Oreochromis niloticus: one gene and its partners. The protein of the gene in region 2 interacts with the protein of the main gene of each other region in a pairwise test. Links are inferred from orthologs where the notes say so. Each region holds a gene or a part of one and is shown on either strand. Other genes may lie near its edges.

Region 1 (7,267 bases), on a different chromosome or scaffold from region 2:
CAGTGGACACTCTTTCAATGATGAGGATGTACACATCCTGGACAGGGAAGAACGCTGGTTTGAGCGCGGAGTCAAGGAGGCCATTTACGTGAAAAGGGAAAGACCATCTCTGAATCGAGGAGGGGGCCTAAGGGTACATCTTTCGCCATCTTACAATGCTGTGATTGCAGCCATTCCCCAACTCTCTGTGAATGGTACTCATGGCCATTGATCAGTGGTCTTTGATCAGTGGGTTTTGGTCAGTGATTGTTGATCAATGGTCATGGGAATTTGCATAATTATGATTAAGGAACTGACCTCACAGCCCATTGTTCCTTCAGTGGGCTGGTTTCAGTCATTATGCAAATGGACTGTTTATAAGGGTTGGGGAAACCTGCAGTCAGCTGAGACTGAAGAAGTCACTTGGATGAGTGACGAAACGTTTCTCCCACAAAACGCTACGTCCAGATGAACAGATTCAACTTTTGGAGAATAAAATATAAGATTTCCTATTTTCCTATTTAGTCTAAATACATAAACTGTTCAATCCTTTCAGTTTCTCATTAAAAACTTCATGCTTGCCCACACTCTCAGAATAACCATTTGGCAAGATGGTAAAAATACCTTTGAATGGATGTATTTTTCCCAGTTGGCTGCGGTCGTGAGGTCTCAGAATCTGCTCTGTGAGCAAAAGAGTGACAAGATCACGGAATCAATGGCTAATAACATCATGGAGAAACTCGCAGCTATCCAACGGGAGATTGAGAGACCAGTGTCGGAGTGTTAAAAACAGGTTGAAATTCTCATGAGTTGTTTGCAAAAAGAAAAATCACCATCATAATGCGGCTACCCCTTCGGCGCCAGCTGTGGGCTCAAGGCTGGAGCTGAACAAAAACTTCCTGATAACGACTGTGTTGAGTCTGTTCCTTCACATTCCATACAAGGCCACCTGGGTTGGCTGGAAGACTGTTTACTTAGCCTGGCAGGGCGAAGGACACTGTCTCAGCACTCACTGACGCATCACCCTCCCTACCCAACGCCACCTCCAACGCTTACCTCCCCTCTGATGTGGACATCGGGTCAGTTGGAGGCGCAGTCGAAGATTGCAGCGGTCCCAGATCAGATGTACACACTGGAACACTTTCCCATGTTGCTTGTCTGTGTTTATTGTGTTATGGTGTGTTGATATCTGTGCATTCCTGTATTATCCTTTTGTGTTACATATTTCGATGTTTTTTTCCTCGCTACCTGGCCTGACCTGTCTCCCCAATGTGATGTTTGTATTGTATGTACGGTCGGCAAGGTCTGTCATCTCGGTTGTGGGCAAAAGACTTGCAACTGACAAATAAAGGCTATCTCATCTCTCATCTCTCATCTCTCATCATCACAAATAAAGGAGTATGACTTTTGAATACCTGAACAGGGCCTTCCTTACATCTGTGATCAGAAGTTTACCTACAGTCATCACAGGCTTGGTAATTTTGGGCTTTTAATTAATTCTTTGAACTGTTCTTTTTCCAGGGTGAATAAAAATTATGTGCAGAAATTCACAAATTTGAATTTATTTTGGCATCTTTCTAATCTACAGTATACATACAGCATACAGGCTAAACTATATATAGACTCACCTAAATCTTATAATAAGTGATGTTGGAGGTTCTATGATGTTTTTTAACTTGACATTTATCTTATCTTGACCAGCTAATTTCTTGTTAGTTGGTACAAGTTATATGACTGTGTGAGTCCACAATGATGGGAGGTATGTTTGGACGAGTAAAGGCAAGGCTTTCAAACCTAAGATCACTGTACCAACTGTCAAGCAGATTAACATTAAGCCTCTGGAACGGCTCAACCTCAACCCTATTGAAAACAACACTTAAACGTTGGGTCTCTACCAGGAAAACAATCAATTTAAATGAACTCTACCAATTCTTCCAGGAAAAGTGGTCAAATATCCAGTCAGAATTATGAAAGAAGCTTGTGGATATTCTTTGGGGCCTTTTAGTTAGGGCCTTTAGGGCCTTTTAGAGAATATGCTTCACTTCTGATTCAATGGTCTTCTCCAATTCTAAAACAAAAGGCAGAGTCCTGGGTAGTTATCCCCTTGTGGGGTTCGTCCCCTTTAGAGATGGTCCTGAGAGTCATTGACCCCATGTGAGCCAATGTGTGAAAAAATGGGTGGGTTGTCACCATCAGTAGGGGTTAATGGTGAAACCACTTTGAGAGGTTCACCCAAATTATCATGTGACCTATTGAGGTCATCTGAGACGTGGTATGAATTGAAGCACCTGGGAAGCGATCCCTGGTTGTGGTAACGACCCACACCTTTTTTCACACAAGTACCCATATGATGACTCACATGATCAATAGAGGGTCAACGACCCTCAGGACCACCTCCAAAGAGGACAAACCCCACTAGAGTTAAATACCTGGTACTCTACATCTTTTGTTTTAGAACAAAGAAGACTCTTGGATGAGAGGTGAAATGTCTTCACAAAACCTAAAGAAGTCCAGTTGCCTTCTTTTTTCAATCTCCTAAGAGTACCATGAACTGGATGACTGAGAACCTACGCAGACAAGCTTGTTGATGGCTATCGAAAATGTCTAGTCAAATGTAACTTGCTAAGAGATATTAAATCAAATAATAGTAGGGGTGTATGCATATTTTACCCCTGCGTGTATACTTTCGATCCTATGTGTAATAGAGAAAACACATTCATCCCCATGGTGATTGTATGTAAACTTTTGACCACAAGTGTAATCTAGTTTCCCCAAAAAGAATTCCCGTTTTATCACTACAGGACATTTTCCAGTTTTAGTAGGAGAACTGCAGTATTACACACCTACAGTATATTGTGTTTTTCAGCTCGCCCTTCTCATCTTGCCTCAGTACTTGTTGAATTTGGTGATAAAGGGATTTAAAAGTCTTTCGAACAGGTTAATGTACATATTCGGGTCTCAATATTGCCTACTGTATGCATTTAATGCTTATTTGTTAATGGTATACTTCAAAATCCCCCCCCAACACACACACACACACACACACACACACACACATACCAAAGAAGATGTTTCTATGTATTCTATGTATGTATTTGCTAATTCAATCTGACATGTAATCAACATTTAAAGGACCGGGGAATTTTTAGCCACAACCCAACTGAAAATAGCGTGAAGTTAAATGGGGCAAATTCATTTCCAGCTTTCCTGTATTCATTTTGGAAATCCTTCACTGCCTTTTGTTTTATTGGCTCTCTTCATCTGTGGTTTTCATTTGTGTTGTTGTTGGAAACCTATAGAAGCTAAATCCAGGTGGTCAGAAATGCTAAATAGTAACTAATTTGAGGTTGAAAATTACATAATACGAAGTTGTTTTTAGGAGTCTCTAAAATCTGTTTTATTTCCTTTAGTTTATGATTAAGCTGATTTGACTTGGGTCATGCAGTTCATGGATCATAATTTCTGCTAGTTGTACTGTAACACCTTGGCAGTTTGGGGGCTCATTTCATAGTATTTTTAGCATTTATAGTTTTATTTTAGTTATTTTATTTGCTTTAAATATCTTGCTTTTGTCTATATTTTCTCTGGAGCCACGTGTGCATGTGTGTGTGTGTGTGTGTGTTTTTTTTTTTATTTCCTGCAAGACCATAATAAAAAAAACTAATAATAATAAAAATGAGGTGCAAAAGTTCTTTGACCGTGCTGAACTTCAGAGCTGTGAGGCATCATATGTGTAGTTGGAAAGAACCTCATTTAGATATTAAAGAAGGTAAATCACATCATTAAAACTAGCCCACGCTAAAGCATGTGGCATCATCAAAAGATCAGGACTGAGATTGTTTTCGTGTATGTGTGTCCGCGCATTTGTGTCACAGCCACAGACATGATGATGAGAGCATGTCTGGGGGCCATGCATCTGTCAACATTTTCCATCTGCCAGTCCGACTCTAGCTGCCTGCAATTAACCCCTTACAAAAACCACAGCTGACTTTACTGGCAAAGCAGTCATGCATGGTACAAATATTTCAGGGTTTTTTTCTTATAGCGTCACCAGGGTCTGACGATGGCAGATTCTTCATAGTTTATATAAGTGTAAACATTGGAGACAATAGAACATTATATTTAGATTATTCACTTTTCTATGTTTTGTTTTTTTCACAAGAAATCCTTGTGAAAATATGTCACACAGTCTGCTGCGCCAACTCCTTTCCATCGGGCGGCGATAATGCGCCACTAGTTTGGTTTTCCTGCCGTCAGTAGGGGAAAAAAACGCGAACAAAAGCAGGGGGAACGCGGTAGTTTCTAGAACAAGTGTTTCCTGTCGACGTTATTTGGTGTGAGGACGCTGTTGGCTGATTCGCGCTATAACAACAATAAGTTTTGCTGTTTGGGGGCTTTATTTTGGACACAGTGATGGCTGTACCAGGTGGGAATTATATTTCAAATGTGTAACTTACTTAACTTCGCAGTTTCTATTGTATTATTCATGTAGGTTTCGCTGGAATGGTAAGAGCTGACAGGGTAACTAATGCATTGGTAACACAAAGTGGGGCTTACGTTTACGCTAGCTTAATGTATTTTTAAAAACACAGACCCTTTGATGTGAAGTCTGTGCAATGACTAACCCAGCGAGAAACTTGGCTACGTTTAGCACACGTGGTTACATGACGGGTGATGTACAAATTGGCGTAAAGCAGAGTACTTGTAAATGTCCAGATACTCCATATAAACAGTCATGGATTCGATTTTAGTACTTTTTGTTAGGATTAACTCTTGTAAGTAGCATTAGGCTTATCACCTTTTTGGTTGAGTAGAGAGAGTAAAATAATAATAATAATGATAATGATAATTATAGCAATAAATCACACAACATATACACTCAATTAGTCACTTTATCAGGTACATCTGTTACCCTTGTTGCTTTTTAAAGTAAATAATCAATCAGCTAATCACGTAGCAATAAGCTGGTGCATTTAGTCAGGTCGACATGGTTAAGGTGAGCTGCTTAAATTCAAACCGAATATCAGAATGAGGGGAAAGGTGATTTTGAGTCTGCTGTGGTTGTTAGTGTCCGATGAGCTGGTCAAAGTATTTAAAGTCGGTAAACTCAGACTAAACAATCTATGGGGTTTTGAATGGAATGAAGAAGAGATCATATCCAGTGAGTGGCAGTTCTGTGTAAAATGCCTTATTAATGCCAGAGGTTAGAGGAGAATGGCCAGATGATCTGGAGCTGATGGGAAAGGAACAGCTATTCAATCAAGGTATGCAGGAGAGCATCTCTGAACGCACATGTGAACGTACATTTTGAACCCTGACACAGAAGAGCCCACAGCAGCAGAAAACCACACAGGTGAAAACTGGACAGTAGCTGATTTGAAAAAATGTTGCCTGGTCTGATGTCACTGCAGCTGTCAGATGGTAGGATCAAAATTTGGCATAATCAACTTGAAAACATGGATCCATACTGCCCTGTATCAGCAGTGCAGACTGCTTATGGTAGTGTCATGGTGTGGGTGATATTTCTTTGGTACACTTTGGGCCCCTTTGTAATCCAACAGCCTACCTGAATATCATTTTTAACCATCCACCCCTTGATGTCCAAAGTGTGCCCTCCTCCTGATAGCTGCTTCCAGCACTAGAATGCGCCATAACTCTCAAATAATGTCAAGCTAGTTTCTTGAAGATGAAAATGAGTTTTCAAATGGCCTCCATAGTCAGCTGATCTCAATCCAGTAGGACACCCTTAGGAGATTCACGGCACAAATGTTCAGCCGACAAGTCTGCAGTAACTGTGTGAAGCTATCATGTCAATCTGGATCAAAACCTCTGAGGAATGTTTGCAGCACCTTGTTGAAGCTTTGCCATAAAGAATTAAGACGGGTCTGAAGGCACAACGCAGTCCAGCCCTGCACTAGCAAGGTGTACTTAATAAAGCAGCTTTGAGTGTATACCTACTGTATGTTTTGGGTGCTTAAAAGTCAGAGTAGGGGCTCATTCTTTATCACCCTTTCAGCACTTTATATAGAGCTCAACCAGTATGTTCATCTTGTAAAGGCATATGCATTTAATTACAGGTTTACATAGTAAAGTAGTTGGTGAATGTGAATGCATACTTGCATGTAAATCATTAAAAAGCTCTTAACAATCTTACAGGACCTAATAAGGACAACATCAGAGCTGGGTGCAAGAAATGTGGCTATCGTAAGTAAAACTAACCATTATTTACTACAAGCTTCAGAGATGTGTGGATGTTATACTGTTATGCTTGATATGCTCCCATATTTACTCAGTGAAAAAAGATTTATAGATTTATACAGTTGGGATGGAGTCTGTTTTATGGTGCCTCTTACCCAGCCTTTGAGCCAGATTTATTTTGGAAGTAAATTGTAATTATGTTATTTATTTATTTTTTGACTTATTCACATTTCCTCTTATGAGTTTCAAGGTTGAGGTTCAGAGATGTTAATAAAAAGTGTCCTCACCGCTCTTTCTGACTTTCATCTTTCAGCGGGCCATTTAACATTTGAGTGCCGAAATTTTGTTAAAGTGGACCCTCATAAGGACATTGTTCTGGATGTGAGCAGCACCAGCAGCGAGGAGAGCGAAGATGACGAATCTCAGGTTCAACGCAGCGAGAAGCGAAGCGGGCAGCATCAAAAAGGTCAGATTTGATTAACCTGCCCTTGATTACTGTAAGCTTTTAAAATATGCATTCATTTACTGCAAGGCAATTTGCAATAAATATAGCAGTTTTACATAATTCAGCATCCAGTCAACATCAATACAAGCTGGAGCTTGAGTAAAATCCAAAGTGTGGATTTTTGCAATTGGACAGCAGTTATTTTATTAGCTCTTTATCTTTATTTATTTATTTTTGATGAGGCCTCTTAGTTATGAGATTAAAGGTGCTGCTTTTGCGTGGTAGGTTCCCATGACAGCGATGATGATAGAAAAAGAAGACGAAAACGGAAGAAGAGCAAAGAGAGAAAGTCAAGAAAGAGGTAACCTAAATATTTTTCTGATGGCCCAATCTACTTGTTTGCACATGTTCATCTTATATGAGTTGATGTATTAAGATAGAGCTATGACAGTGTTGTAACATACTTGTACTCCACTGCAGTCATCCTTGTATTTATAGTACCTGAGTATTTACTTGCACTATTTGCACAAGTCAGACTCGGTATATATTTATTACCTTTGAAGCTTATTCGCCTGCTTTTCTGAAATGAAAGTGTGTTTACCTTCATAGATAAACTGAGTTGTTTGATTTGTTTTTTCTTTTAAT
Region 2 (7,909 bases):
CTCCTTCCTGGGGACTAAATCTAGCACTTTATCTAGCTTCCTCCATCTCTTCTAACTGACATCCAACCTACACGGCGTTCACACTGACAACATTCAACATTACCTCTACGATTTCCAGCTTCAAACTCATTAACCTGTCTGACACTGGCTCTGAAAAATATCCGCCTCCTTCTCTCCTTCATATCAGCTAGCTCCTCACATGTAAGTCCCTATCTCTGACCGCCACACTCCTGCCTTTCCTTCTCTCACGCCACCTCCTAACACACCTTCCCCCTCTCCCCTTCCATTGTTTTGAGCCAATAGTAGCACACTTTCCACCAGCAGCCTGCTGACCAACAACGCCAGAGGCATTCGCTGCCCTGATCCAATGTGATGATGGCACGGTTCATTTTTCATAACTTTTCATGAATGACTTTGCATAACTCAGCTCCTCACTACTAACCAGCACCCATAATCTACATGGCTTCTGAACGCCTTCCTGAACGTACCTGAGCATTTTCCCCCATTTTAATGGTAGCGGCAGTGTCTGGTGTCTGTGCTGCTAGTTCCTCCCACAGAGGTGTTATCACGTTACCTGGTGAAATGCTGCAACAAAAGCCAGACACTCTGATCAGACAAAGAAATGCATAATTATTAAAATAAAGGAAATGAAATACTTGTAGAATCTCTACACATTCAGTTTTTATTTCACACCTGAATTCTTTTTATTTATCAGAATCACATTTTTTATTTCACTGTAGTTCTGTCTTTTACCTCCAGTTAATGCTTAATTATAGTTGTTTGTTATCTTAGTAATCAATTAATTTAATTTCTTTCCTTATATCCAAAATTATTTAGTATTCATTTTAGCCTTGTAACCAGCACACTCGCACATATCTCCTTATATAAAGAAATAAATGTGTAACATCGGCTGCTCCACAGCCACAAGGACACTCAGGATTGTGAGGACTGGATTTGACTCTTGAAGCCGTAGTTCAGTTCGGCAATCAATGATGCATTCATTAATTGCATCATTAATTGCATGATGCAATTCATGAATTGGGGGCGGGGGAGCCTGTGACTCAACACATTTTTATATCTTATTCTTGTGATTAAAGTGAAATCCAATTAATTAATCTGGAAATTAAAAATATATTTTCTCCCTAGAAAACTTTTTTTTCAGATGCCAGTTTGCCTCACCAGTTGACTCTCACATTGTAGCGGCTCTCATCCACTGCCATTGCCTTTGTCATGGAAATGATCGCCCCCTTGTGGAGAAGACATCACATTACAGTACTCTTCTATTGGGCAGGGGGCTGAAATTTAGGAAATGAGGAAAGAAGCTCACCTTTGTGGCAACATACGGTGCAGCATCTTTCTGACCGATAGTTCCCACAAGACTGGAAATATTGATGATGTTTCCTTGGCGCTCTCGTAGGTACGGTAACACATACTGCAGAGAGAGCGAGACTTTCAGGTGGTGCAAAGATCCTCTATACATAATGTTTCGATTACTCCAAGAGCTCAAACAGAAATGAAAGGTATGACGGGTTTATGGGTTATTAGTTAGTCAGACTGGCGTTGGCTAAAATCAATCAGTCAATGCAAGAACCTGGAAATCCTGGAATCCTGATATCAAAGGAGGTAGATTCCATGTTAAGGATATGATCGTGTACTTTTAAGACCACTGAAAACATTTTTTTCCTGTATTGTTTCCCCGCTTGTCTTTTCATAATAAAGTTATTTGTTATTTATTTCATTCATCAGTGTTTAAATGTATCACTTTAATCTTTATGTCCTGTCTTTGTTTCCACAGAAGACAGAATATACTTGCACGCAAAGCTGTGAAAATTTACTTTAGACGCCAAAAAGTAGCTGACGAGGTTCAGATTCAACAAGTCTCTGAACTCCTCCGCTGTGGTGTCATCGGTGGGTTTATGAGGAGGGTCTGAAGAGGAAGATTTCACACAAAGAAGGAAAGTAAGCAGGACGGCCATGACGTCATATCTGCTTGGAGGTGAAAAACAGACAAAAAATGCATGTGTGACTCACGCCAGCCTGCGTTGTTGACCAGGCAGTCGATGTGACCAAACTGCTCCACTGTGACTGCAATCAGTCTCTGCACAGACAAGAGAAACCAACAAATGACAAGCACACATCAGCAGTGGCTGCCCGAGTCACTCTCTGAGCTCATGTGATCATCATGTGATCATCATGTGATCATGTGACTCTGTCCATTTCAGACCTTACACCCACAAAGCTGTACTTCACCTTTATGTCTTCTTCCTTGGAGATGTCACTTTTGACAAACTTGCACGAGCCTGGTCCGGTCTTGTTAAGCTCCGTCTCTAAAGCTTCACCTGCTGCACCTACGAGACACGTCTGATCATGCCGCAAAAACTTGCACTCCATTATTTTTCTTTTCATATATGCTGGCAAAAGTGAATTCGTGTAACTGTTTTAAAAAGCAGCAGAATAAAAACAGCCTTACTAACTTTCTCTTGCACAAAACGCCACTTTGGCTCCGTTTTCCACTATAAAAGAAAAAAAAAAGTCGCAGAAATGTTCAGTGCGCCACTCCTCGCTGCATGCGCAAACTGCCAGCATAAATAAAGACATTTTCATACCAAACACTCTGACAATCCCTCTGCCAATCCCTTTGGATCCTCCCGTGACAACAGCCACTTTGTTGTGGTAGCGGAGGGACATTTTGTCTGCGATTACGATGATAAATGTGACGCAAAGCGGCGCTGCTGTCAAACAGCGGACTAATAACGGTTAGTTCTTACTTTCTCTGCTCGGAGTTATTACAGCAGGACTCCTCTGTGTCTTCGCCGCCAGCAGAAACGATCAGCCGCTGTCAGCATGTTTGTAAAGTTCAAAGTACCACAAAATCATGCGGTTTGCTTTGCTGCATTCAGGAGCATAGGGGATAGTAGGAAATCCATACATTCACAAGAAAACTAGCTCTAGAGAGGGTTCTTGAACTTTTATAATAATATCCTTTTTACTTCAACTGTGTCTGGACATCTGTGCTTGGGTGCCAATAACTTAGCCGCCCTAAGCTGATGTCAGCTTCCTTAGAAATCATCACTCTGGACACAGGGGCGGATCTAGAAGGGTGGCATGGGGTGGCAAGTGCCACCCTAAAATGATCCTTTGCCACCCCAGTTTTGCATATGACAGTGTTGTTTATTAAAATAAGATAGCATTAACAGTTTGAGCGTAGTTACAGTCAACAGTGAATAAAACTGAATATATTGCATAGTGTTCCTCCCCTCTACCATTAACAAATGGTTCAGCCCACAGCAGGACCAGCTTTTTTCTTGTTATCAGTAGCAAGCGATGTTTATGATTGTGCCAGAGCACATTTTGAACAACACCACGGGAATTTCGGATTTTACACAGGTGGTTGGATGTTACACTATGGAAATGGAAGGAAGATGAGTGTTATTAACCCTCTGTGGTCCACGGACACGCTGCACCTCCAAATCACATGACTATGTTAAGCTGACATAGCAACAAGCTGCAGCCACGCTGAGTCTCTGTTTCAGCCCACATTGAAAGTTCGGACTTCAAAGTTTTTAAATTTTAATTACAGGCCAGTAAATCCAGAGTTATGATAATATATATAATCCATGCTTTTTTCTAAATACTGTCGTCACGTTTTTTATGTGTGCTGTGTGTATTTTAAGTGTTTTCTAAGGAAAGCGCGAAAACAGTAAAGAAAGGAAAAGAAGCCTATCGGTGGAAAAATGTACCATGTCAACCAATTTTTAAAAAAGTCAACACGTGGGATTTGGTTGTTTAGGGAGAGGGGAGAGTTTTTAGAGTGACGGTAACGGCAGCGAGACAGAGCGAGCGAGTGAGAGAGTTTTTAGATGTGGGAGATTTGTGACGTTTAGTGTGGAGTGTACAGTTAGTGTGTTGTGTTGTCTTGTGTAGCTGTTCTGTTGTGCAGTCGTTTTGTTGTGTGTGTCAGTGAGGGCACTAATGAATGTCACAAAGGCACATTTGCAATGTAAACACTGTCACTAAGTAGAAAACCAGCGGAGTGATACACCTGCTGTTGTCAGGCCTGCAGGTTTATCCCTGTGCTGTTCTCATCTGTCTTTTGGTGGACAAACTTTTTTTTTACTGGCACACATCATTTGTGGGGCATCTTATTGCAACACCTGATTGTTCTCTCATTTTAGTTTTAGTATATTTTTAAATGGTTGTACAAAATGAAAGCAACGGCAGGTGTATTGGCTGCATTTTTAGATAAATAGTTGGATATGTTTACAAAATGTACAATTTATATTTGCATTTCAAGTTATAAAAATTTACTCAACATGTCTGTGGTTTTTTTTTTTCAGTAAAAAAATACTACTAGGATTTTAAGTTCTTTGTGTGATTTCAGATCAGTAATACTAATGCAGTATGTCAGTGAAAAAAACAACTAAATTCAGTTGAGCTGAAAAGAATGATCCCAAACAAGGCAAGGGGGAAAAATAAAATGAAACAATCTGAGGGTGAAATACAAACGTAAACTCAAAAGGAGTCAAAAATGCCCGGTTGTATTTCAGACCTCAGTGGGTTAATCCAACAAATCATGAAAAATTAGGTTTAAATTTTTGTTCATGACAGTGCAGATTTCTGACATTTTGTGTAATTTAAGCTGTAACAATGTGATTGTTTTCTAACAAAAAACAGTGTGAAACTTAAGTTAGACTTGTGTTTGTAAATGAACCGCCCCATGTTGTGCAACTTTCTGGATTTTATACTTGTTGGGCTACATATTTATTTATTATACAGGCTATACAGTACATAATATCAAAACTCACATGTTTTATGTAACTAAAGTGTGTAATTATGTGGGCTACAGACAATAATTAAGTTATAGACTATATTTATATGAAAAACGTGTATACTTACTGCATTTGAATCATTTTAACCATATGTAACCACCTGCATATGTGTTTGGGGAAAAAAAGGCTTTGATTTTGCCACCCCATTTGATTTCTTTGCCACCCTCATGCCACTCTAAAAAAAATTTCTCTAGATCCGCCCCAGACTGGACATGATTAGTTTCGTTCTGTGAAAGGAAGTTCTTCCTACTCCCCATTATCAAGCACTTGCACGAATGGGATCGTCTGATTGTTGGGGATCTCTCTCCAATACTGTAGTGTCTTTACCTGACAGTATGAAGCACCTGCTTCCCACTAAACTTGCTGATGCTATGTTTCTAGCAGTTATAAAGCACTTAAAGATCAAGGAGATCTGGCCTTTTGTTAAAAGTATTCATTTTTGTATACTTAATCTTAAACGTAATTATTTCATTTCTTCATTTTCATGCCTCACTGGTCAACATATTCGTGTAAAAGGGTGCTGGGTCGATTGGAGGTAAAAATCAGAGACACTAAACCTTTGAAGTTGGCTCAGGAAGGGCATGTGACTTAAAACATGTGGATAAGGTAGAAGCTGAAATGAACTTTAATCTAATTTCCTCATTTTACATGGCAAAACATTTTGTGTTTAAAAATAAAAATTTGGAAATCCTTAAACTTCCTGATTTTTTTCAGGGATTCAGATTTTTGGACATCAGCCTGTATTATTATTATTATTATTATTATTATTATTATTAATAATAATAATAATAATAATTTTAAGGAACATTGTGCTTTATTAACTTAAAGGTTAAACTAATATTTGAGGTCATAAACTCACCAACTCACAAATTATTTTTAAATTGGGCTTCTTTCTGCAACCTGTGGCGTCAGCCCCCTGCTGGCCATTACAAAGAATACAGTTTAAGGCACACTGCTTCACATTTGCTTCACTTTTCAGACCTGGAAGCTACATCTATTTTTTTTTATACAGAGCATAGCTTGCATGCTACCATACCACTCACTATGCCAGTAAAGGATTCAGCACATCTCACACAGTTTAATAAAGTGAGCCAAAAATACCAGGATCTCCAAGTGCCTTCAGCTGCAGCTTGCAGTAAACAAGCCAGCAGGTTTTCCCACACATTCCGACCTACAGTCCTCTGCAACAGCTACTCTTATTCAAAGTATCAAAATTGGATTTGGAGATTTGGAATGCAAAGAGCAAACTTTACAAACCCTTTGTGAAAATAAACACTTAAGAGCTGTAAATTACTTGAAGTATTTGAAGGCAACAGTAAGAAAAGTCTTCCTGCACACAGACCCAGAGACTCAGAGATGTTTTGGTGTATAATTTAAGATGTGTCTAAAATAACCACAGAAATCAAGTTTTATATTTAACATAAAGTGAGTAATGGTGTGGTCACATTTCATGACAGATTTATCACTGCTCTGATCCAATTTGTGGATAATTCTGCACAAACCACAGTAACCTGCAAGTTTTAATTTATATCTAAGATGCAACAGCAAAAGAGGGAAAAAACATAAATACCAACCAAATGTTTGTGGTATGATTCTAGAGTGTAAATCATGTTCATGGTGCAAACACTGCTCCCTTATTTTATTTTTTATTCTCCTTTTTAAACTTTCTAGTTCAGGTACAGATCAGGCTACAAGTGTATGTAAGAATGCACAGCATGTTTAAGACAGACTTAGGGTTGTAAGAGGTTGACATTTTTGAGTGAGGAGGCTTGTTGGGGTCAGAAAAAGTGGGCGAATAGGCAGCGTGCTCTTGGAAAAGGAGCAAATCCAAGATTGAATTTCCGCCTAACAGCATTCCCCATGCTGAGAGCGAGAGGCAGCGCAAGGGTGCAAGCGCAGACAGTGAGTGACCTATAAACAAGCTTAACAATTTTAACTTTACCCACGGTGGCAGATTAACACCACAGCAGCCCCTGAAGAAGCACACTACTCCCTCTATCTCCTCCCCTCACCTCCTAAATGTGACTCAAGGGAGAATTAGGAGGGGTTGCCTGGATGGTGTGATGATGGGTCGGCCCAGAAGGCACATGGAGGTGAAGGAACAGCAGGAGGGTCATGGTCACTCGCCTGGGGTTTGAAGCACTAGCCTGAAGCATTAGCTGCCGGGCAGGCAGGTGAAAGGAGGAGCTGAACTAAGGTGGGTTTACAGTAACTGCATGTCTTGGAATTTGTGCATGCAGTATGAAATCAAATCTAAACAAAGACACTGTATAGCATGTTTTAAGACAAGTGGAGCTGACAGCAGTTTCTCTGATGGTCTATGGAGACGGAGAAAATCACCTTAAAATCCATTTTGATTGAACCAAAAAGTCCAGTGTGTGAATGTGAGAGTGAATGAATAGAGGAATTGTAAAGCGCTTTGAGGGTCTCGAAAAGCGCTATATAAATGTAATCCATTAAGTCAGTTCAGGGAAGGGTGTACAGGTGTAACATTTTCTGGTGTGTTACAATAAAGTGTAACAGTAAAAAAAATATAAAAATTGAATAGATTTGCTAAAAGAATCAACTCATAAATGCTGAAATACAGATTTTTACTCAGAATTTATTTGTTATACACCTTTTATACACAGTGTTGTAACTGGTTGTTGGAAGTATGATGTGAAAAGGGTAACTTTGATTTTTCGTCTTGCAGAACAAAGAAAAAATAATACAAACAAAAAAACTTGGAACTATTCCAGGCTGAGACATGGACAATCATAAGGGGGGAGGTACAGATCGAGGTGGAGGCGAGACAAAAGATAAACAGAAAGCTGAGGAGGTCAGCGATGAAGATAAGCAGGCCAAAAACAAGCAGAACAAGTTGGAGAAAGAGAGCAGCAAGGAGCCGAGGGCCCATCCCAGAAGGGAGAACCGCCGGCGGTGTCAGTGGGCTCTGACGGAGCGTCTGGCCATCAACGTGTCAGGGATGCGTTATGAGACCCAGCTGCGCACCCTCGCTCAGTTCCCAGACTCCCTGTTGGGTGACCCCCAGCGTCGAATTCGCTACTTCGACCCTCTGAGGAATGAAGTCTTCTTGGATA
Region 3 (7,994 bases), on a different chromosome or scaffold from region 2:
ATGAAAATACTATGATAATACTTTTAAAAAAATGTAATATCTCTAGTTTTTCATAATATTATCCATTAGTCATGATAATGCAATTATTCTAAGTAACTGAGTGGGTTTTGTGAGAATATCACAGGGTTGCAAATAATATGGAGTTTGTCAAACTGCAGCTTTTCAAGCCTAAGGCTGAGAACTGAGCCTGCTGATTATCTGGCAGTGCCAGAGTGTCTTGTTTACCAGCCTCACACTTGTTTTATCAGGAGCAGCTCAAGGACAGGCAGCAAGACTAGCTGCTAGCCTTCCTGTTCAAACATATGTTTGCGTTTCTAACGATCCACCCACCCCAGATCAGAGTGTGTGACAAAGACAGCACCGCCCTCTCCTTGGAGATCCCGTGTTGTCAGATTTCGATAACAGGCTGACCCCCCCCCAACCTCCACCCACTTCTTTTCTCTGCTCCACCCTCTGGCAGTTAGATGGTACCAGGAAAGGTCATTCAATCGGATTATCAGTCTTGATGGTCATAAAAAAAAACACCAAGGTCAATAAAAATACAAACGCTTAAACATGAAGAAGTGTCTTGTCGTATCAGTAAGGCGTGAGGGATTTTTAGCTTCCACTTGCGCACATAAATAACTAAAAAAACAACAACAAAAAAACTAAACAAAAAACAAAGGAAAGCAGGGACTCTCCCCTTTATTAGCCATGCCCATGATGCCTATTGCGTAAGCTCTGCATGCTGGAACTAGCCTAGCTCAAGTATGTGTCTCCCATTATATTTAGCTTAGAGACTAATAAACAAACTCCAAATGAAGTTTGCAGCAGGAAATGAAACATCCGCAAAAACAGTTCTGTTATTTTTCTGTTGTCTTGCAGTGCTTTATAGACAAAATAATGCACACGTGGGTAACAAATTAAAGATAAAAAAAGTGCCTCAATAATGTGCTCGGTCCCTACCTGCCATCAGAACAGTTTCAATGTGTCTTGGCATAGGCTGCATCCAAAATTAAACACTAGCATACTGTTAAGTATGGCAAAATATGGTATTTTCACTGATTCCAAGAATTATTAAACTGTACCCAATAATACAGCAGATGCATTCTATATTCAGGCGAATATTTAAGTATACACACTCAGACCATTATACCGGCATAAATATCCCACAATGAAATACAAATACAGACACACTATAATGCCAAAAACTCTCCAATTTAGGTGCTTAATATTAAAGTGTTCACCCTGACAGGCATTATATATAATTTAATCAGATATTCACTTTTATCAAATGAGGTTAGACCTGTGTGACTGGGCCTTACCTACATATCAGCTGGTGACTGGCTGGCAACCACCAGTTACTAGGGAAAAATGACTATTCTCCAACCTGTTGCCAGTCGCTAGCCGAAACTGCTCCCAAAAGGTATACATCACTGCATCAAAGACCTTGTGATTACTAGCAGACTGCCCCATGGATGACACCAACTGGTTTGCAAACACTTGCCAACTATTCAGTACACAGTTTAGAATCTGTTAAGAATGAAACACTTACAAACCCATTCGGTGCACCCCTACCCCTTATTAGCATGTTATTAAGATGTTACACTACAGGATAATGGTGATCACCGAGAACAGCATTTTGAGTTTTCTTTTTATTGATTAAAGCAAAGTCGTTCTTTGCAGCCATCGTGCTGCCTGTCCTCACTTTGTGACACTTATTTGAGGAGTTTCTTTTAAATCCCTGTACATATAGAATCACCGTTAAAAACTGCTAAAAACTTTGTAAGCGTTTCCCCCCAAGAAAAGGTTTTAATCCCAAAATCAGCATTCCCAAAGTGCAATGTTTCTCCCCCTTAGTTTCCGTTTGCAGTGATCATCACCAAAATGCTCCCAACAGGTGGATAGAGCCCCCATCAGTCTATGGGGTCGAGGGCCCTGCATTTTTTCTTGTGTGCTTAGAAGTCAGTGTCTGAAAGATGTACTTTTTTTTATTTATTCTTTTTTTGGCAGTGCAATGAGTAGAAACTTTTTAAATATCTATTTACACGACACTTTAAACACAAAGGCTTTCTACTGTGCACTTTATTAAAATTATGATTCTCCCCACTCTTGTAACATAATCTTTACTATATACACATTTCATTTGTATACAGTAATGTCTTTACTGTGTCCTCCCCATTCTCTAAGTAATGCTGCCATAAAACGAGGATGCGTTTCATTTAACTTCTGCTCCTGTGACTCCTCCAAGAAAACCCACTGAGATGACAAAATAAGATATTAGTGCCGTGCCAGTGGTTCAGACAGTGCATTCTTCCTCCCCGATGTTTTTGATCGTTTTACTGTACTGTCACCAGCACCTCTCAGCATAGACTGAGAAAGCATATGGCGGTTGACAGACAGCTGCCACCTCCAGTGTGATCGTTAGAAACCGCAGAGAAGAAAGAGATGGGGCTCTGCCTCTGAGCTGGGAGCTGTTATAACAACACACACTCGAATGAGACACTGGAAGCGGCTCACGCGTGAAATCCAGCGAAACAGTTGAATTGTGCGCTCGTGTTTCCACACAGATCTGTTAGTTACGAGTTAATCCATGGAACAAAAGAGTATTATTAATTTGTGTCTTTGTTATCGACAATATTTCAACAGTGCCCGTTTGAAACTCAGTAAGAAATGTAGTACTACTTTATGAAGAAAAGAGGACCTACCTTCCAGGAACCTTTGCGTTTCTCCTCCAAAAATTGATCCTGTTGTCGGTGGCCATACTCAGATAACCCCCGTCAGACCGACACCAAAACCGGCTGCTCTCGTGAAGAAACCATGCGGCAAACGCTTCCGCGTTTCACTGGCGACAGCTCGGCCCCGCTCGGCTCTCTCTGCGCGGCCTCCTCATGAGTTTAAACGGTCGAGTGATAGTGATATTCGCTTTCTAGTGTGATGATGTACACTACAGCACACTGTAAGGCGCCATCTTGGGGCGCACCGACAGGAGCGCGTGATTGGTGCCAGAGTCTAACAGGTGCAGCGAAAGCAGCCAATCGGACGAGCTCGCGGTCGAGCGACGGTGAGTGATGCTCACGGATAAACAGGCACAACGACGTGATTCGTTGACACTGGATGCTGGTAGGGGAAAGTTTGGTGTCGACCTCAAACACCATTCTAATGCAGTCTTTGTTGGGACTCCAGCCTCTGTTGACGCCTGCATAGTGATGTGTTTGGTTTAACCACTTAAGCAGAGCAACTGAGACAAGGTCATTTCATTTCAATTCATTTTGGTTTATATACCACCAAATCCAAACAACAGTCGCCTCGTGGTGCTTTGTATTGTAAGGTAAAGATCTTACAATACTACAGAGAAACCATAAACATTCAGATGACTCCCTACAGATGATACCAGGCTCAGGGAAGACACACTGGGAAAGCCAGAGATGAATAGTAAACTAATGATTAAATGGAGTGTGGTTGTATAAACACATGTGATAAAAGGTGGGTGAAGAAGAAACACCCAGTGCATCATGTGAAGCCCCCGAGGGCTAAGGTCACCTGATCCAACCCTAAGTATATGCTTTATCAATAAGGAAAGTTTTAAACCTAATCTTAAAGGCAGAGATAGTGTCTGTATCCCGAATCCAAACTGGAAGCTGGTTCCACAGAAAATGGCCTGAAGGCTCTGTCTCCTGGTCTACTTTTAAATGTCCTTGCATACACGTGAGCCTGCAGTCTGAAAGTCAAGCGCTGTATTGGAGTGATACAGTGCTATGAAGTCTTTAAGATAAGATGGGGCCTGATTATTCAAGCCCTTGAATGCGAGTAGCAGAATTTTAAATGCAATCCTGGACTATTCCTAGTCCCAGTCAATACTCTTTGCTGTAGCATGTTGGACCAACTGAAGGCTTTTCAAGGAGTTTTTAGGCCAACCTGATAACTATCCTGAAAGGTTCAGCCTTTAACATGCCTACAAGAGAAGACACTCCAGAGGTGTAAAAAGCGTGTGATTTTCAGGAAATGCCAAAGACTTCAGAGAGCTCAGGATAACATAAAAATGTATGTGTATTGCTCGGGAAGAGTGAGCACTTTAGGAGTGATTTGGGAAAATTTCTTCAAGGTTGGCTTTAGTGTAGTAAATTCCTTAAAATGCTGCATCCAGATAAACACAATCAACTTTCTGGGAATTTCTTATCTGGACGATTGAGGATCAAGACATTCCTAAACCACTTTGAAAGAAAAAAAGGCTCTTGAAAGTGCATGTGCAAATGGATCTGATCCTGAAGCTTAAGTCTTTTTCCAATTTATTGTTGCAACCGGAGAAGAGAAGCTGATGGTGAGGCAAGAAGAAGACTATAAAGTGATAAAATTGTGGGTCATTCCTTATAAAATCAATCAAATTGATTGAACTTCTTATCTTAATTTGCTGATTATTTTTGTGTAGTAAATAAATATAAATATTTTGAACATTTCCAGAGTTTCCGGCCTTCAAAGCACATGGATGGGTTTAAGTTTTCAAGTCACCATTTTCCCAGCATATTTGACCTGTTATAACCTCTTAAGGAAGAAATAACAACATTAAATTTAAGCACATTTAAGCTGCAACCAAGTCATTTTTATACTAACTCTAACTGTCACAACCTAAAACCAAAGTCTCGTTGTTGTTTAGAACCACTTTTTTCTATAGCCAGAGATTTAGCATGAATATCACAGGATTTTGCTTCGTTTCAGTTGCAGAATCACACAAGTTTAACAGAAACAAGCACCAGTGCCTTTGATATTTTATCTGCTTTCTGATCATTCAGTGTAGGAAAGTTAATAAAGCGTGTTTTAGGTAAACCGGGGGCAGCAGCCTAAGCAGAGAAGCCCAGATCTCCCTCTCCCCAGCCACCTCCTCCAGCTTGTCTGGGGGAACACCATGGCGTTCCCAAGCCAGCCGAGAGATATAATCTCTCCAGCGTCTCCTTGGCTGGTCCCGGGGCCTCCTCCCGGTGGGACATGCCCTGAATGCTTACTCACATAGCAAGCAGGTCTGGCCCGGATCTGGTCTCAAGTCGGCGCTTCTGGCTGACTTCTGGCATGATAAGATGTATGTCATCCAGATATGGGCCAGGCCTGGCATAGATGGCACTGTCTATGTGATGGCATGCCATATCTGGCTCGATTGTGGTTTGGTGGATATGGCCCAGGCCCATAGAAAACAGGTCTTCCCTGGATCCAGCATCAAGCTGGCACTTCTGACTGAGTGGTGTCATGGCAGGGTGTATGTCAACCAGATGTGGGCCAGGTCTGGCAATGATGGCACTATATATGTTCATATTTTCCTATTTTAGTTAGAAGACTCAAATGCCATGTTGCAATACTATACTGCTATGGTAGCCAACGTTTCAAATGCAGATTTGACAGGTTTGTGAGTGTACAACAACAAAAGTGCTATATAAGTACTAAGTCCAGTAAGTAATATAAGTCCAGTTAGACCTTTTGTCTGAAACAAAATAAGTCCTCTTAGAATTTAAAAGATCAGCAATTTTGTGTCAGTGGCTAACCTCTTGTTGGATGACCTTGTGACATAAAGTTGAAGAATGTGGAAATGGAAACAAAACCGCTATCCTTTGGTTAATTAACAGACGTACATCAGGCTGATCAGAGGCAAGTAGCTTACTGGAGCAACTGCAAGCTCTTCAAGCCACAAACTGTCATGCAAATCAAAATGCTTCCTCTGATTGTTGACCCTCACTTCATGCAACTTCATGCTAAGTAATACTTCTCTTTTTTCCCCCAGTTGCTGCATCTACAGTCTCCATCCACATGGGGGCAGACATCTTCTGCTCCACTTAAAGAGCTTTGCTCAAAACGAAACCAGTTCAACTACTACCTATTTACTGGAAATGTTTGAAAAGTGAATTATCCTTTTATGCTGCTTATTCTGTGGTGTTATCAACAACAGATACCTGACCACAGAGTGGGGACATAGTCATGCTTTTCCTGAAAAAAAGAAGCAAATTGACTCAAATCATCTTATTTGGTATTCTATAGAGCATCTTGGCCTCTGTTGGCTGCATTCAAATACAGGCAAATAAAGGTTTTGGGACATGAATTGGTTTCGTTTTACATGTTGGCCTTGTATTTGAATTGCAGGTGCTCTCCTTTGTCTGTTTGTTTAGGGAAATCACTGCAGCACCCACCCACCTGTTCACTCCTCTTCAAGCGTTCAACGGACTTCAACTGACAAAATCCAGGTGAGAGTTAATATTTGCGGGGAACAAGTGTGTGCTGTGGATTTCATATCACTGGGATTGAAGAAAACTCCATTGAAACATTTTCTGAAGATAACTATTTTTAGAGACTGTTTGGAATTTTCTCTCAAGGCAGTCTTGTGACTTTTGGCTACTGGATTTTGCTTGGTGTGGCCATCTCACTGAAGAAAACAGCAGCATGAGAGGAGCAGGCTGAGAGGGGATGCACTTGTAGTCACAAGGCAGGACAATAGGGAGCTGTGTGAGGGACTGCTGGAGTTGCCTGGGGCACAATGACTCTCTGCTATTACTTTGATCTTCCTGCTGTCAGGAAACCGTGCCTATTTATTGAATTACTTCTAGATGAAGGCATGTTTTGACTCGTCTGCTGTAAATACATATTTTAGTTCTAAATAGTTCATCTTTAATGGCATGCATTTTCCTGAACAGTACATTGAAGATAAGTGGTTTTTCAAAATAAATGTATGACACATGCTCAGTGGAGTTTAAGCCCTCAGCCATATTTTGGCTTGTGTGACCCCCCTCCCCTTTTTTTGCTTTCCCTCTAACCCCTGAAAGGACAGCATTGTGACTTTTTCTCTTCCTGCATGCTCAAGTGGCAACAAAACCACTCCGACAGCATTCTTAAGAAAAGAGGAACTTTTTTTCTTTCTGTTGTCCTGTCACCGTGGCGCAGTGTTCAGCTAACAGTTATTTTTAAAGTTTTCTGAACTGTTTGAGCAAGAAGATATTGACCAATATAAGAGGTCAAGAAGTCTTGAAAACAGTTTTGAACTTTTGAGTTGGAGCTTATTCAGTGGAGGTAAGTTTTTTTTTTTTTTTTCTTTCCTGTTACTTATGTCAACATTGCTCAAAATAGTTCTATGGTAATCATCTACTATTTTATACTTTTTACTGTAAAAGGCACTAGCCAGATGTGAATAAAAGAAAGGGAAAACCTCCCCAACTTTTTAGCATGCTTTGGCTTCAAAGCTCACAATTAAATGTACTGTGAAAATGTGCATACAGAAGCATTAAATGTTTGCGTATCCTCTTCAGGCACATGGTGATGTATACTGGAATTCTTCATCTCAAGGTCAAGAGGTCATCAACAGCTGTGCTTACACACTCTGACTGTGACTGGGCCATGAAGGATTGCGAATTCGTTGAGAAAGGTAAGATGGCTCGCTCACGATGAGGAAGTCTGTATGAGTGCTGTGTGTGGAGAGCTTAGTCTGCACAAACTATTTATGTGCACATCATCTGGTGCTTACATTTGAGGGTTTGGAGGGTATACGCTGGACAGATCACAAGTCCCTCACTAAAAATGCTGATACATCCCATGATCCATAAATAATAAAAGGGGCAAGGATTGTTCAAATTAAAAAGTGTTTATCTAATTAATAATTGGACCCATAAGTATGCTAGGAGTAAAAATGTAAGACATGCAAAGAAAGAAATAAAGAGATGAGCCTCTTTTATGTCTGTCTTGATTTTGAACTAAAAGCCCAAAGTGCAAAAAGGATTTTTGCATGCTAACAATTTCACAATGCCTGCTTCGGTGGGTACTACTCTTTTATTTTCATGGCTGTCCTTTTGAAAATTTCAGCTTTCAACTTTAAACACATTTCCATGAGGTCCTTTGCACTTTTTGCTCACAGGGACAACCATTTGGGAACTTTCCAGTTTCTTTCAGCTCTTTGTTATCTATAGCTTTAACCCTTTAGATAACAAAAGTAAAGTCAAATTGGTCAACTGATATATCAAAAGGTGATTTTAGTTTTACTACTTCAA
Region 4 (7,085 bases), about 5.5 Mb from region 2:
TCTTGGCCCATTCCCCGTGGGACTCTATTCCGATGCGTGGTGCTGATACGATGTCTTGGGGTTTTGCCGGACTTGTGTCGGGATCATTCTCCAGCCACACTTCTGGGTCTGAGGCTAAGTCTCGACGGTCAAAACATCGGGGTATATTTAGAGCCTGGCAGAGCTTTGAAGGCCCATTGCAGAGCTCTTTGTCCTTCAGCTGACGGGCTCCCTCTTTGCGTCTGGCTGCCCTCAGCTGCCTCATGACGGCCTCACCCTGTAGGGGCTCGAGTGAGCGCAGCAACACAGCAGCACCCTCCCCTGAGCAACACAGCACACAATATGCATCAGTCAGCAAGGCTCCATTCTGTCTCCTTCCTTTTACCCTTTAAACAGCAACTATTGAAGCCATGAACTGCTGTTTATGTTTAATGTTGTAATAGTGAAGACGGATCAAAACTGGCCTTTTCACATCCATTGTTAATAATAATAAATATATGAATGTACACAAAATGAATGACATAATGTACACAACATATTGCACCTTTGGTGGGTATAGCATTTACCTTCACTAGACACGTTCATGCATAGGTAGATGCCATAGATTGGATACACGTAGATTGTGCCAGGCTTCATAAACATGGCTGTGTTTCTCTCGGTGCGTTTGCCTCCTGCCGAGTGTGAGGCCTTGTCCTCCCCTCCAAGGTAAGCTTCAGTTTCCACTATTCTTCCTCGCAACTCCGTACCATCTGCACACCTGTGGACCAGCACCTGCAGGAACAAGGGACAGCAAGATTCTTTCTCTATTTCCATAGGATAGTGGGTTACATAGATTTGTCATTTAGCTGAAGGATGCTACCTACAAAAGACAACTCTGACAATCAAAACCACAACAAATGTCTATTTTAAATGTCGTGACAAAAGTCCTATGAAAGCAAAATAATAAGTATCTGTTCTGTTAAGCCAAATATTCCTTTTGCTTCAAAAACTGAGTGTGGACATATTTTCATGAGGTGTACAATGAACGATCAAAGAAAATCCATGCTTGCAAGCATGCCAGTTTTGCTGCTAAAAAAAAAAAAAAAAAAAAAAAAAACTACACCTCAATCACACTTTCATGAATCTTGATTAATGAAATATTCCAGCTCAAAATCTTTATTGATTTATACTTGTTGGGAATAAAATAATGAAACTAAAAATAATGAAAGGAAAGCTAGATTTAAAAAAAAAATCACAGCCAAAGACAAAGTTAGAAATTAAAATTGAGTCACAACTTGTATCACAATGTGGCTCAGTATTCTGCATAACCCAGTACACACTCCCAACAATGTGTGGGCATGCTCCTAATGATAGTGTGCGTGGTGTCCTGGTGGATCTCCCCCAAGACCAGGATCAGGGTATCAATGAGGTCCTGAAAAAGTCTGTGGTGCTAACTGCCACCTTTGGATGCACCATAAGATCCCAGAGATTCTCAGTTTGAATCAGTTCTGGGGAACACAAGGGCAAGCCGATGGCATTAATGTCTTCAATACCCAGGAACTGCATACACTTCTGGTCACATGAGACTGGAGCATTGTCCTGCACCAAGTGAAACTAGGGCGCACTGCGCCAACATAAGGACAAGGGGTCTGAGGATTTCTGCAGGGACCGTGATGTGCTCGTAACCTGCAAAGATATTGCTATTACCTACTGCCAAACCTTCATGCTGGAAGATGCTACAGGCAGCATAATGTTCCCCACAGTATCTCCAGGCTATTTCATATCAATAACATGTGCTCAATGCAAACTTGCTCTCGATTGTAAGGAGAACAGGGTTTCAGTGGTGGACCTGCAAGTTCTGCTCACAACTGTACAGTTCTGGGGTGTGATGGAAGGTCTACTGAAGTATGTTGTGCCACCCTCATGGAGGGTGTTTCTGACAGGTTGCACAGAAATATATACATTTACACTATAGAGATTTTGCTGGTAGACACAATAAACCTTCCAAAGGCTTGTATGTGCCATCATGGAAGAGGTGGACTACCTTTGCAGCCTGAATGGTCCGCAGGTATTAGTGACAAAACTAGAAATAAAATCAGTTAGGCTGAATAAGGAAAGAGCAAAACCTGATAAATCATTCTCTTTTTGGGAGACTGTTGTTTTTGCCTCTCCACTACACCTGTTGTCAATTTCATTTGCACTAAAAAGGGTAAACTAGGTAAAATAAATACACAATGGTTTATGGACAGATTAATATCTCTGAAGTTAGCAGACTTTGTGTTTTTGAAGAAGCATGTGTGTTTAAATAAACAAATAAGCAACAGTTAGCGTTAAAAATGGGAAACAGTGCTTAACAACTTAAATACAATCACGGAAAGTAAGTTTATCAGGGGCTCATTCAAAAGTATAGAAGCCAGTTACTAAGATATAAATTGAAAGGTGAAGTTAAAGTAAAAAAACAAAAACAAAAACAAAACAACAACAACTTTAAACTAAACTACATTTTCTTCCCTACATTTTGTGCCTCCTGACTTTTAAACACACAGACACATTTACATACAAAGGTGTTAAATTCAGGTGAGAAATCAGCCTACCTTGCCGAGGAAGGCTTTAGCTAAACTGATGCAGGGCTGCTTGAAGAAGTCCTCTCCTAGCCTGTGCTGCTGCTCATTCTTGGTAAAATAACGGCTTCGCTCCGCCTCAGCACTCTGGGCATTTTCGCACTGAGTGGGCTGCTTCTTAAGCGCGGTTTGTGAGTCCTCTGGCTTCAGCTCCGTCTGCTTGTTGTGTTTATTTGACGACACGGTTTGTTTAGATGCTGCCGCCGACAGCGCTAGCATCTTTCTTTTTCGGGCTGCCATCATCTTATCGTAAATTCAGAAGGTCTACAAATTTTTAAAAAACACATGTAGGACGGCGTGTATTTATAAACCCAACAATACGTTTATTCAATATTCAGCATTTAATTCACAATACAAATAATCTTGTGAAAGCCGTTCACGTAGTAGCATACCGGAAGTGAATATAATTGTTTTGGTATCTCTTAAAGGGACCGCGCACTCCTTGGAGGCAGTAGGAGAAGTTAACCTTCAAGGCTTTCTCCTAAAAAGATTTTATTTTCCCATCTATATTATTTTATATTTCAGTTGTGGAAGAAAAAAAATATTTATGGTTAAGAACAGGTGAAAATAAACATGTTTTGCAAAGATTGAATGGAAAAAATCATGAATGCAGTTTTCTTCTCTTTTTGAGCTGAAAATGTTTAAGCCAGCCACTGACTGTTCATTATGGAGCAATTCTATGGTAATAAGACTGCCTCTAAGAACAAATGTCCATCGTTTTCTCACAAAATGACTTTACAGTGCATTATGAATTTCACTCTTCAGCACAGCAGCCACTTTGCCGAAAGACTACCTGACAACCTGTGCCCTTTTCCTGCTGCTGCCTTATCTTTTCAGTCTCATTTGGATAATAAGAGGTTATAAATAGAACCGCTCTGCGTGCTCTCCACTGCCTGTGCCCAGGAAGTTGACGGCGCCAGTTTGGCCCCAGGCGCTTTGAGCCCATGCGGCTTTCTGGAAGACTAACAGTATGTGACGTGGTCATGCCACAGACCACAACTTCAGCAGGGAAATACAAGTTTGCTTTTTTGCTACTATGGAGGCAAATCTCTGGCTGTAAAAAGGAATCAGCCTATTATGATGCAGATGAAAGGAATGAACTGCAAGTCAACTAATAAAGATAATAAAGATGGACTTGATGTACCTTTCTTTTTTGTCTTCACACTTTTACATTTGTGCCCGTCTCCATGTTGAGTTTCGACTTTTATTTATACATGTGAAAGAGGAAAATAAGCACAAAAGTGTCATCTTCCTCATTTGGTCATAGATTCTGTGTGGCATTGCACAAAAACAGATGACCGGGACAAATTTGCATGGCTAGTCATTCAGTATCATATCCTGTACTTTCTCTTGTCTCCTTTTTATGCTGATCAAGCAATAATTTAATGTTGAACCTCTTGAGGTTTGATTTCCAGGTTTCCTCAAGAAACTACACTGTGATCACCGTGTTCATCCAAGGGCTTCTAATGGAAACCTCAAGTGACTTATTGAGCCAGAATACATTCCAGACAGAAATCTGCTGAGCATGTTCAGTAGAAGTCTCCTGGAATGGCTTGTTGACTTTGTCATGGCTGGTGGGCCAGAGAAGACCATTGTTTGCTGTGACTGTGTTGCTACTGCCCGTCAGCAGTGCTTGTGCGGTTTGGGCCGAGCAGCTTTCATTGTTGCTGCCACTGATAATCATAGCAGCCACATTCTGGATCACTGTCAATTCCAGCAGCCACCTCAGCGATCGTGACGCTGAGCAGGAACACCAGAGACTGGGCTGTGTGTGCAGATGGACGAGCAGAATGCCGCCGGACTAAAAATGCCTTACTACACGATGACTCAGAGAATCCTATGAAAAAAAGCAATTGATCTTTTGGGTTTCATGTGCAGTATTCAGTGTATTTGTGTTTAATTAAGGGAATGGTAAACTTATTTTAAAGTGACACTCAGTGGACTCTTTATTAGGTACACCTTTTTTAGTACTGGGTTAACTCTTATGCTTTCATATCTGCCTCAATTTGTAGTGGCACAGATTCAACAAAGTGCTGGAATTGTTCCTCTGAGATTTTGGTTTAGCAGCTTTGTGATATTATTACAGATTTGGCGCAAATTTTTCAGCTGCAAATTCATGATGCAAATTTCCTATTCCACTACATTCCAAAGGTGCTTTATTGGATTGAAACCTGGTGACTGTGGAGACGTGTGGCGTGAAGGGAACTCACTGTCATGTCCAAGATGAGATGATTTGAGCTTTGTGACACGGCTTGTTGTCATGCTGAAAGATGTGTATACTGTGGTCACAAGGGAGGGACATGGTTAGCAGTAATATTTAGGTAGGCTGCTTTAACACCGTTACACCATCACCAGCAGCAGCCTGAACTGTTGATACAGCGCAAGGTGAATACATTTCATGCTGTTTACACCAAATTCTGACTTTCTGATTTTTTGTGACATCCAAATGTCACAGAAAAATTGAGACTCATCAGACCAGAAACCTGGTCCTATTTTTAGCTGACAGGAGTGACCTCCCTGTCTTGTCGTCCCTTGCTGTTGTTTATCCATTTCATGAGTTGGCATTCTGTGAATTCAGAGATGCTCTTCTGCATACCTTGGTTGAAACAAGTGGTTATTAAAAAAAAAAAATAATCCAGTAGATTTTTGTGCAGGAAAATCCTAGTAGATCACCAGCTCCTGAAATATTCAGACCAGCCTGTTTGGCACCAACAGCTATCCTGCATTCGAAGTCACTTTAATCACATTACTTTCCACTTCTGATGCTCTATCCTTGAACTTCACCAGGTTGTCACGACCATGTCTACATGCCTAAATGCATCGAGTTGCTGCCATGTGATTGACTGATTAGGTATCTGCATAACATGCAGCCAAATAGGTATACCTAATAAAATGGTCTGTGGATGTATGCAATAGCAGTTTGGCATTACTACATTTAGTTTATAACTGTCTCTCTAAACACATTACATCAAATGGATGTCTAAAAAAACTAGCTAAATTTATATCTCTATTTTTGAGTAATGTTTATACGATATCTTAGGTATGAATGTCAGTAGCACCATTGCCAAACTCAGACCATTACGTAGTTTAATTAAAATAATTTCCCTGAAAAACTATTATGCTTTTAAAGAAAATTCCAAAATATAATTTGAAGTCTTAAATAAAAATATTTAAAAATATTAAAAATAATATTTTCTGTCATCGGGGCGGTAATAATGTGGACAGACAGAATCTCATGCATTATAAGTTTTATATGTATACTACATTGTACTATTGCATGATGATTGTTATTCTTTTGGATTTTTTATTACTATTCATATATATGTATATATATATATATATATATATATATATATATATATATTTAACTTAATCATTGAACTTCTGCAGAGCTCCAAACCAAATTGTGTTGTACTGCATGGTATATGTATGACAATAAAGACAGATTCTAGTCTATATTAAGTATCTGTTTGAGACGTAACACCATGTCGGTATTATATGAGAGTCATGATTTAAAAAGAGACAGCCATGATGTTTGTTGGTGTAAATAAACACAACAAACTATTATTGGCATTGCTGAGATTACGTCTGGTCTTGGTCTGTGTTTAAATTTGTATTGCCTGCATGATATAATCAACATCCAAGCGCCATAAAAAGCCAGCAATTAATTTGAAAGAGATTTTAGTGCTTAGTGTTGCTCATTCCATTTCACGGGGAGTTAGTCTGAGTTCGTTTTCAGAGAGCCTTTTAACCATGGTTATTAAAAAAATGTGGACATTGTGCATTTTTAATAGACCTCTTAACATCATTTCTCTTCTTCAGAACAAGCTTTATGTCAATAGATAAAGTTTCACAATAAAGATACTTCCAATAGGACATTTAACTTCATTAATTTATGTGATGATTAACCTTCTTTACCAGAGCAATAACTCCACATGACTGGAGGGTATTCTTACCAGTACTACAAGAGCCATTAGGTGGTAGGTAGTATTTGCATCCTCAGTGTGATGGGATTAATTATTAATTGCCAGCAATTAATGATTCATGCACCTCCTTTCTTGTTTGCTGCAGAGGTGTGGCGTGTGTGTGCTGTACAGGTGGCTGAGCTCTCATCAGGAGATGGAAGCAAGAGGATCACGTCATCTGACACCCAGTTCATACACCTTGCACAACAAAGAGACGTTTATAAAGAAACAGGTTTGTCTCTTTCCACATCTCTGAACTCACATGTAGAGTTTAAAACATAACCACTGCGGCTTAAATAGGCTTAACCACAGGTTAGCTAATCACTGTAAATAGTTCAAAGGTTCTCTTTGTTTATCTAAATCACACATAAGATGTTGTCAGTTTTTCCCAAAATTCCCACAGAGACATTCAACAGGTAGAGCTCATTATTTGTATGACTCAACTTAATAACATGAGAGCCCATGACAGTTTGAAGACAGTGTTTTTTATTAGCTAATCAACAGACAAAAACTTCGAGCTGTTTGGTTTATTGATTGAACC

What was found.
Region 1: the proteins of hsd17b14 (region 2) and srek1ip1 interact in binary tests that used the Homo sapiens proteins (3 or more experiments, as listed by UniProt). The two-hybrid records come from large-scale screens. The link is inferred for Oreochromis niloticus from reciprocal best matches to the Homo sapiens genes HSD17B14 and SREK1IP1.
Region 3: the proteins of hsd17b14 (region 2) and tbc1d22b interact in binary tests that used the Homo sapiens proteins (3 or more experiments, as listed by UniProt). The link is inferred for Oreochromis niloticus from reciprocal best matches to the Homo sapiens genes HSD17B14 and TBC1D22B.
Region 4: the proteins of hsd17b14 (region 2) and mpg interact in binary tests that used the Homo sapiens proteins (3 or more experiments, as listed by UniProt). The two-hybrid records come from large-scale screens. The link is inferred for Oreochromis niloticus from reciprocal best matches to the Homo sapiens genes HSD17B14 and MPG.

Annotation. Positions count from the first base shown.
Region 1 is NC_031980.2:34,249,515-34,256,781, forward strand, and holds the start of srek1ip1 (protein SREK1IP1), read left to right. Parts: upstream 1-4,246; 5' UTR 4,247-4,392; coding exon 4,393-4,405; intron 4,406-6,135; coding exon 6,136-6,183; intron 6,184-6,490; coding exon 6,491-6,643; intron 6,644-6,907; coding exon 6,908-6,983; intron 6,984-7,267. UniProt on the Homo sapiens protein: Possible splicing regulator involved in the control of cellular survival.
Region 2 is NC_031969.2:29,966,852-29,974,760, reverse strand, and holds the start of hsd17b14 (L-fucose dehydrogenase), read right to left. Parts: upstream 3,005-7,909; 5' UTR 2,689-3,004; coding exon 2,607-2,688; intron 2,514-2,606; coding exon 2,475-2,513; intron 2,349-2,474; coding exon 2,251-2,348; intron 2,099-2,250; coding exon 2,032-2,098; intron 1,928-2,031; coding exon 1,836-1,927; intron 1,433-1,835; coding exon 1,328-1,432; intron 1,248-1,327; coding exon 1,180-1,247; intron 586-1,179; coding exon 489-585; intron 1-488. Other genes in the region: kcna7 (potassium voltage-gated channel subfamily A member 1), read left to right, coding at 7,576-7,909. UniProt on the Homo sapiens protein: Catalyzes the NAD(+)-dependent oxidation of L-fucose, yielding L-fucono-1,5-lactone, which rapidly converts spontaneously to L-fucone-1,4-lactone. Can also act on D-arabinose and L-galactose, with lower catalytic efficiency. Does not use NADPH.
Region 3 is NC_031984.2:33,124,290-33,132,283, reverse strand, and holds the start of tbc1d22b (TBC1 domain family member 22B), read right to left. Parts: upstream 3,003-7,994; 5' UTR 2,744-3,002; coding exon 2,688-2,743; intron 1-2,687. Other genes in the region: myt1b (myelin transcription factor 1), read left to right, coding at 7,264-7,375. UniProt on the Homo sapiens protein: May act as a GTPase-activating protein for Rab family protein(s).
Region 4 is NC_031969.2:24,448,376-24,455,460, forward strand, and holds the start of mpg (DNA-3-methyladenine glycosylase), read right to left. Parts: upstream 3,017-7,085; 5' UTR 2,823-3,016; coding exon 2,553-2,822; intron 751-2,552; coding exon 546-750; intron 301-545; coding exon 1-300. UniProt on the Homo sapiens protein: Hydrolysis of the deoxyribose N-glycosidic bond to excise 3-methyladenine, and 7-methylguanine from the damaged DNA polymer formed by alkylation lesions.